Linked DNA regions of Coturnix japonica. The protein of the gene in region 2 binds, or shares a complex with, the protein of the main gene of each other region. Links are inferred from orthologs where the notes say so. Each region holds a gene or a part of one and is shown on either strand. Other genes may lie near its edges. The genes, in order: USP25 and TNKS.

Evidence for each region.
Region 1: the proteins of TNKS (region 2) and USP25 are in contact, whole or in part, in a crystal structure (PDB 5GP7), measured with the Homo sapiens proteins. The link is inferred for Coturnix japonica from reciprocal best matches to the Homo sapiens genes TNKS and USP25. Residues at the interface, in NP_003738.2 of Homo sapiens: Arg836, Ser838, His842, Leu843, Gly846, Tyr847, Leu871, Asn876, Ser879, Tyr880, His882, Asp900, Trp902, Phe904, Glu909, Gln912, Lys913, Gln934, Glu935; in NP_037528.3 of Homo sapiens: Ser1046, Ser1048, Arg1049, Thr1050, Pro1051, Ala1052, Asp1053, Gly1054, Arg1055.

Annotation. Positions count from the first base shown.
Region 1 is NC_029516.1:88,685,097-88,689,651, reverse strand, and holds the start of USP25 (ubiquitin carboxyl-terminal hydrolase 25), read right to left. Parts: upstream 3,012-4,555; 5' UTR 2,962-3,011; coding exon 2,863-2,961; intron 1-2,862. UniProt on the Homo sapiens protein: Deubiquitinating enzyme that hydrolyzes ubiquitin moieties conjugated to substrates and thus, functions in various biological processes including inflammation and immune response.
Region 2 is NC_029519.1:44,128,647-44,132,944, forward strand, and holds the start of TNKS (poly [ADP-ribose] polymerase tankyrase-1), read right to left. Parts: upstream 3,027-4,298; 5' UTR 2,990-3,026; coding exon 2,497-2,989; intron 1-2,496.

The DNA.
Region 1 (4,555 bases), on a different chromosome or scaffold from region 2:
ACACTTATCAGATGAAGGAGAACACCTGCAAGAGAGGCTCTGGTCACATGAGGAAACGTGGGTCCACGGGGCAAATGGCAGGTGAGGCAGCCCAGAGCTCAGCGGATTGTAACACTGAGATTATGAAGGCTGTATGGTTGCTGGGAAGGTCACCATCTATCAAGGTGAAAAACAGTACAACTCTCACATACTTTCTGCATGTACCACATGCCGAGGGGATATTCTCTGAGATCACCTCCTGACATTCAGAACCGAAGAAACATCACTGTTTCTGTTGCTGGAGACACATGACTGCATCACCTTATGTACAGACAACTGCACAACATTAAAAAGTTAGCAACTATTGTTTTCAGCAAAGAAAAGCTGTCACTACTACAGCACTACACTCTTCCAATAAGGACATCAAATAGGTCAAGCACAGCAGAAATACGTACACTAGCTAACAGAGGTTTCTCAATATCCTGAAAAAGAGGAAAAGAAGTGAATTGTATTAGACCTTGCTTAATGCCATGCATTGTTTCTAGTGCTAAATATCCTCAAAGACATGTGCTTCTCCAAAATTTAAAAAAAAATTAAATTAATTAATTAATTTAAGAGCTGATATCTCTAACTTTATTCCTGTGATTAGACTACCAATATAGTGCTGAATCACAGGTCTGAAATAACAGGGGAGTGGAAACAAATATCCTTTTGTTTCAGGGAAAGGAGAGGATTGATGAAGTATGCTTTAAGTCCATGTACACACTAACACTCAGCCCTTCCCCAAAAGCAGTAGAACTCGATGACACACATAGCTGAGACGCCAGCTATCGCCCTCTGAAATCCAGTTTCTCCAATCTGTTGTCACAAGATGACCATCACAGTAATTACGGTTAGGCTGACACACTGCTGAAGCATGTCTGACTTCTCCACATCATTTTTTTTCCCCCCAATTACTAGAAAATTACCTTTTGCCCCACCCCTGCTCTTGTACCCACTGCCTCAGGAACAGGGACCAGAGAAGGGCCTCCACAGCACAAGAGACTCTGCAGCCACATTCAAATTCTCTGGGCTTCATGTGGTAAAAACAGACAGCCTACAAACACCCCACCACACCACAGGATCACACAGGAGCTGAGAGTGACAAGAGTAAAAAGACTGATTATTTGCTCCAGAAGATAAATTACCGCTTTCAATAAGGAGTCAAGATGATCACTCAACATGTAAGAATTTCCTTTGAACTGATCCAAATTCTTTGACTGTACAACAAACTAAAGACAGCTTCAGTGGGAAGTGGGCTGTTTGTACTTGGGGAATTTATTAATAAAAATGTGCATCTCCCAGTACCGCTTAAGTTTGACACATACTTCCTGTACGACAGTAAGAAAACATCTGATGAACAATGTTGGGAACCAGAGTTGTGAATAAGGTATGCCGGTGACTCAGCCATCTCTTGGAAATCCAATATAATTCTGTTTAGATGTGGTCTCCTTGTACTAACAGAAAACAATCACAACAAACTTTGAGGTCTGCAGAACAAACTCTATTTACAGAGCATGGGACCTTCTTCTGAGGGATGATGATGAGCTAGTGGTAATCCCTCCAACCATGCCTCAAGCCACTGTACTTCCATAAATTTTCTTTTTAAAGGAGAATAAACAGTACAGTGTCAAAGTCTTTCACCCAGTTAGCTGCTTGATTGCCTCACTAAATAATGATTGGAGTCTAACACGATTTTTTCCAAGATATTCTTAAGTTTGTCTCTGCCTCCCCCAGAATGCAACTAAGGATGAAGCAGGTAATAAGGAATCCCAGTAAAATAATCACATGGTTCAACAGAAATAAAAAAAAAAAAACAACTGTACTATGAAATAAAGTTTGTAGTTTTATACAGCTTCTGAAGATACTGTAGTAATTTACTTTCATAGAGAAATGTCAGCCTCAGAATTCTTTCTGACTTTAATTCTGTGTATACAGCGCCCGATGACCCGTACGATTCAACCCCCAGCCACTTTTTAAGCTTATTACACACAACTGTAAAGGTGGATTGGAAGGGACCTCTGGAGACCCACCTTTGTCCAAGCCACTGCTAAAGCAGTTCCCCAGAGTAGGTTGCACAGGGAAATGTCCAGGCGGGTTCTGAATATCTCCGGAGAGGGAAACTCTGCCTCCTCTCTGGGCAGCCACTTCCAGTGCTCTGTCCCCCTCACAGTAAAGAAATCCCTGAAACTGTGATCCTCCTGAACTCCTGACCTGTAAGCAATAGTTCATCCATAACGTTTTCCCTGTAGCGCAGCTGATAGACTATGGAGTCCTAGAAGGGTGCAGCGAGGATTATGTAACAGAATGTCCAATACAGTAATTAAGGGATATTTAAGTAAAGCATCAACTATACGTTTTGTGGAAGACCAGCTTCTCAGAAAAGCTGTCAGATAAATACCACCAATGAAGAAATATTCAAATACAGAAAGCACAGCAGAAGCCCGATCAGCAGAAGCCTGGCATGCAGTCTGCTAGCCCTCCTCAACTGAAATCCACATCAACAAAGGAAAGAAGGGACAAAAATGTCCATTCAGCCCTCTTCTTCCTACAGAAGCTGCCAAAATACATGCTCCTAGCTGACAGCAGCCAAGAGATACCTGCCTCGCCCTCCAGGAGAGCTTTGTGAATGCAAGTTGCACCACCTGGACCAATTACATCTTCATCACTGCTTATGAAGTGTAACCATTGCCATTAAACTTCCATCCTGACTATGCCCATGCAGATCTACCTCCATGATCCCACAAAACCAGGACATGCCTTGGAAAAAAAAGAAACACAGCAGGGGAGAGGAGGCAGGTCTGTCCTGTAAGCAGGGCGGGCACACGAGCAAGCAACAGTTACCTTCAGGGGGGAATAGAGAGCCCCGTGCTTAGATTCCGGGATCCTCTTCCCCTTGCCAGTCCCATTTGCTGCAAGCAAAGAACTACAGAGGGTATCCATTTCTGAAGAGCTTTTTCAGCAACTCCCGATCTACATTAAAAGATGTATAACACCGCCACTCGCTCAGCCCTATTTCATAACGTGCATTAACACAGCCCCTAAACACACCGCTTTTCTACTTCAGTAAGAGAGCGTCACGGCCATGTATGTGTCACAGCCCCAAAATAGCTGTCACCTTTCGCACACACTGCTCGGCCTCGGCATGCCAAGCACACGAGCATCCTCCACCCGCACGGAGCGGCGGCCAGGCCCTCCCGCAACCTCGGCACCGCGCTTTTCTCCCTCCTCCCGCAGCCACGAGCGCAACAGGCCCGCACACCCACCCCGGGGCAGCGGTCGGTCGGCTCAGGGCTCACCCCGCAGCCGGCGCTGCGGACAGACCCACGGCGCGGGCCGGACGCAGGCCCGGCTGCAGGCGGGACCACGCTTCCCCGGGTGGGGAAGGCGGCGGCGCGGTTGGCCGTGGCCCTGCAGGGAGCGGAGCGGCCCCGCTTAGGCCCGGGCTCGGCCGGGGGCAGGGGCTCGCGGCGCGCTCGGGGCCGGACAACGCTCTCACCTTGGCGGCGCCGCCGGGCTGCAACACGTTCTGCTCCACCGTCATGGCCCCGCGCGGCTCCCGGCTGCGCCCCGGGCTCGGCGGGCGGGCGGCGGTGGCGGCTGGGCCGGGCCCGGGCTGGGCGAGCGGAGCGGGAGGAGGAGGAGGCGGCGGCGACGGAGGCGGAGGAGGAGGAGGGGCGGGAGGGGGAGCCCGAGTTACCGCCAGGCGGGCGGGCCGCCGAGCCGGGCGGCCGCCATGGGGCAGCGCCGATCGGCACAGGCTCCGCCGTCACTCCCAGCGCGGCCGCCACCGCCCAGCGTGCCCGGAGCGCGGCCTACGCCGCCGGCCCCGCCCTCAGCTCTTCCGCCGCGGTTCCCAGCGGCAGCGCCGCCCCGCGCACCTGCCTCAGCGGAGCCCCGCTGCCCTGCTCGGGCTGGCTGCCCTGCGGTTGCCTAGCGGGACGCACTGCTGGCAGCGCCTGGCTCCATCTTGGTGGCGGAGCCCGCACACGGCCCCGCGGGACGGCCCGGCCCGAGCGGCCTCGTTGCCCGGCCGGGCTCGGCGGTGTCTCCGCCCGGAGTTTGCTCTTTCCCCGGCCCGGTGCTCAGGGAGGCGGGAGCTGCTGCAGCCCGTCGAATGCCCGCGGGAGAACGGGCTCCGTGCGGGACCTGGCGGCAGCGGCACTCACCTGCTCTCTGCGGCTACCCGGGCAGCGACTTCTGTTCTGACACGGGGCCTGAGGATGCACCACGCCTCCCCCATAACTCTTGACCGGGATGGCTGCGAGGTGGCCATAGTCGGTTCGAGGGGTAAATGGGAACAAATGGGAGCTGCTTAGGACGATGTGTGTGTGTCTGTGTGTTGAGATCTGCAAATTATGGCACCTCAGATGAACGGCATTATGGAAAAATAAATACGTAAATAATTTATTTAAGACCAGTTTATGGAGTCAAGAAAATGGCAAGAAGCTGGGTTTGGAGCATCCTTGCAGCCGGGAGAAAGTAAGTCATAGGAAGTGCAGGGGGTGAGGGGCGGGTTGGGTATCTGTATGCACTA
Region 2 (4,298 bases):
AGTCTTAAACTCTGCAACTTTGCAGCTGAGTGTAAATACGCACCCAACTTAGACAATAACAGGTATTAACAGGGCAAGCATGTAACTCTTCCCTTGACATCTGCTTTTAGCCAACAGTACAGATAGAGCCTTAAGCCAAACAAACCTTTGTTATGGCTTAGTACAGTTGCTTCTTTTAAGTTGTTTTTGGGTTTTTTTGTTTTTTTTTTTTGGTAGTTTGCATTGGAAAGTAAATGAATAAAAGAAACATACAAATACATTTACACTTCCACTTCACCTCTTTTTTCTATTTTTAAGTCAATTATTTGCAAGTCTTTAGTATTTGTTTTTCATTCATCTCTAAGCTCACCTCTTGAAAGAGGCTCACAATTTCAAGACAGTAAGTCTTTTAAAGTAAGTGGCTACAGAAATTGAAGTTCTCACTTTTTCCTAAGTCTATGCATGTGCTAAGAACCCTAAATGTTCCCAAAGCCACCCCCCCCTTTTACCTTCCTCCTGCCATGAGAAAGATGATAGGAGTGATTCAGAAAAAAGAACCCTCTGAAAGTTTAAGGAAACCTTGAGAAACAGCATTAAACTAGAACTAAAGCAGCCCTGTCCTCTAACAGTAAAAACAACTCAGCTGCCTCAAATTGTTGCCAAAAAGGGAGTCTGAGAAAACAAGACTTCCCCTTAGCTAAGTTCCCAGGAAAAGATAATAAACAACAACAAAGAAGAATCCAGCTGCTCTAAAAAGACACAAACAACAACAGCAACAAACAGGAAAAATGAAGATTTACCAGCTACTAAAATAATTCTTCTGCCACAACCCACAGAAACAGAAGTGAAATTCTATTTTTGCCTTAAGAGTTTAGCTTCAAGAGCTTTGGAAGACGGATACAGCACGGTTTAACTCCTATTCCCTTATAAATGCCACGTAATTTCTATTTAGATACGTCTCCTAAAACAACAGCTATTATTCACAACGTAGCTTAATATACACAGCAGACTCCTGTGCTTATAAGGCCATGGGAAATCCAATCAACGCTGCATCATGAGCAAATATGCACTGCCCGAGACACTCTGCATTTAACAACATCCATGCAGACTTTTCCAAAACAAAAGACTTCAAGATATCAATACTAAGAAGCCTCCCTAACGCTTTCTACATGCCAAATCCTTTTGAATCAGATATACTCATTTATTTGATGGGAAACATGTACCACAGCTAAGGACGATCTCCAAATCCGGAGACGGAGACAACAGATGTCCGCCAGATATAAGAACCTGACTCACTGTTTTCCTCATGTTGTAAGGAAGTATCTTTCATTACTGTTACAGTAACACCCCATGGATACCATCACCTTTCAAAGCCTTATCTAAAGTTTTGTCTGCTTTCTTTCTAATCAAAGTAGAAACCACCACTGCAACTTTAGCACCACACTCTACACTAGCCCTGAAGTTACAACCTGAGATCCTGAAGTTTAAAGGGACATACCAAGGTGTTATTACAAGCCTGAATCCAAAATAAGCAGTGCAGTCTCAAGATTCGTCTTGAAAACATCAAGCACTTCACATGCACAAGTGCACCACATAAATACTGACCACTCATCAGTCCTGTTAATTACTTTATTTGTGCATAATAGAGCACTGCTTAAAGATATCAGACAAGATATCAACACTATGGCACATATCAGAAAGCTCCGTCCAACCACAGACCTAGTATCTCCCATTTTATTTCTATCATAGAATTAATTCACCCCGCGCCCCCCTCCCATGAAGGCTAGTCCCTGTAACATTTGTTCTCATTATAAACTACGCTCACTTATGACAGTTGTGCTTGCTAAGAGGCAATCATAGAATCATTACAGAACAGCTTGGGTTGGAAGGGATCTTAAAGCCCACCCAGTCCCAACCCCTGTTGTAGGCTGGTTCTACCCCACCAGATGGAGGCTGCCCAGGGCTTCATGCAGCCTGGCCTTCAGCACCTCCAAGGACAGAGCACTGGTTACTTCTTAAGGTCACCTGTTGAATCTCACTGTCAGCTTGTTTCACAATATAATTTTTCATGTGCAATCTCTTCCCTGCATTGATGCACAGCATCTCCTGAGCACGTGTGCGACTACCTAACCAAGTTCAATTGTTCCACTTCATCACTGAGCACTCAGTCTGGTTTGAGTGAGGAGTGGAAACACCAACTAGAAAAAAGAAGTTACAAGTTGCAAGGCTTGTTACGGGTGTCTTTAGCTTTTAAGAGCTACCAGAAAAGAAATCCCTCACTCCCTGAGAACTCCATCCTGAATTCCCTTCTCACTTCCAAACCAAACAAAGTAAAGTTTGAAGGCCACGTGAGGAACACAAAGAAACCTGTCAGTGCCTTTCAGTCACATACAGAAGCTACGCGCTGCCTTGGCATGAGAAATACGGAGCTCGGATAGCTCACATCCCCCCGCACCTTCCGAGCCCCGGCCCTCGAGCTCCATATGGAGCTGCCCCCGCCCCTCTCCCCGCACTCACCGGCGGCGAAGTGGAGCGGCGTGGACTTGCGGCCAGCCATATCCTTGGCGTTGACGTTGCCAGCGTCCACCAGTCGCTTGACGCGCGTCACGTCTCCATTACGACAAGCCTCCAGCAGCTCGCGGAAGGCCCCGCTCGGGCCCGCCGCCTCGGGGCTCTCCGCTGCCGGGCTCGACGCTACCGACGATGACGTGGACGAGGAGGAGGAGGAGGAGGAAGAGGCAGAGCTGCCGGAGCTGCTGCCCGAGCCCTGCGGCGGGCCCGACGCGGCGCCCTCCGAGCACTCTGGGGCCGGAGGCCGCTCGGCGTCGGGGGGAGCCTCGCCCTCGGGCCCGGCCAGGCTGTGGCGCTGCGCGGCCGGGCCGAGCTCGGCCGGCGTGAGGCTGGGGCTGCGCGGCGGAGAGGCGGCGGCGGGCGGCGAGGCCGGCCCGGGGGGCGGCGGGAGCCCGTGATGATGGTGGTGGTGCTGGGAGCGGCGCAGAGGCGCCGCCATCTTCACCCTCCTCCCTCCCCCGCCTCCCTCTCCGCTCCCGTCACTGCGGCAACGGCGGCACCTTCCGCCCGTCTGCGGCCAATGGCGGGGCGCGGCGGCCGGACGTCCCGCGGCGGGGCGGGGAAGGAGGACGGGGAGTGTCCTTATCGCGCCCCGCCCTACGCCGGGCAGCGGCTCCGTGCTGCCCCCTGCCGGGATCCTCTGCCGGCCCAACCCCTATGGGAGGCCCCGCCCCGTCGGAAGGAGGAGCGTCTACTTCCACAGCGAGAGGATGCAGCCCGGCATCCTTCTGGGTGACGCCTGCTGCAGGTCACAGGAGCCTGATCTGGGTTCAGATCTGTAGTGCCCGTGTGGGTGGCTGCCCCCAGTAATGATGCTGCTTTCTCTGTCCTCAGGTGCCTAATGATGCAAATTTGATGCCAGCAATGATTTTCCATGCAGAGATCTCACTTCCTAGAAGCATCATCTTGATTGAAACGTGCTACTTTGATAGCAGGAAACAAAGTCTCGTGGGCATGGTATCACAAGAACAGCTGGGCAATGTGATGGATTGTTCTCTTTTCAGGAGGAACTGAATGTGCTATTTCTGATGTGGGAAGCAGCTCCTGGTGTGCTCAGGGGGCTGCTTCCTCAGTGGTCTTAAAAAAAAACAACACAGAGACAAAATCTGAGTTAGCCCAGATAAAAATACGCTGTCGGGATTGAAGGATGCTCTGAAAACAAGCACAGGCCTGGAAAACAGCTCTGACAGGGACAACGCAGAGACAAAAGGCACCCCAGGATTGTCTCTGATGCTTTGGGCAGCTCCTGAACCCAGCCTGGTGCTGAGTTACCTGCCCGCATCCACGCTTCCTCCCCACCTTTTGTATCGTGTGTTTGGCTTTGCCAGCCAACACCACCAAATTTCCCTTCTCAGGGATGACTTCATGCGGTGTTGAACTGAAACACGGGGAAGGTTTGCTCGGGCTCAGAGCACCTGAGGAAAGGGCTTTGCTCCAGCTCATCACCGATGGGAAAGAAAGATGGCCACCGAACCCGCAGCTTTGCGATGCGCAGATGTAGCAACGGGTGAACGCGGTGATTTAATGCGGTGCTGAGGATCCGGCCAGATGCGGGCGGCGGAGGGAAGGAACAAAGCCCGGCAGGAAGGTGGCGGAGTTGCTCTGAGTAACCGCGGCGCTGCCGGCCCCGCACGGCACGTTAACGGCGGGGCAGGTTCACCCCAGCTGCTGGGCGGAACATCCACCCCCTGCTCGCCGCGGGGCTGACGCTCATCACAAGGCAGGAGGTGGCACACTCGGCCCTGCTC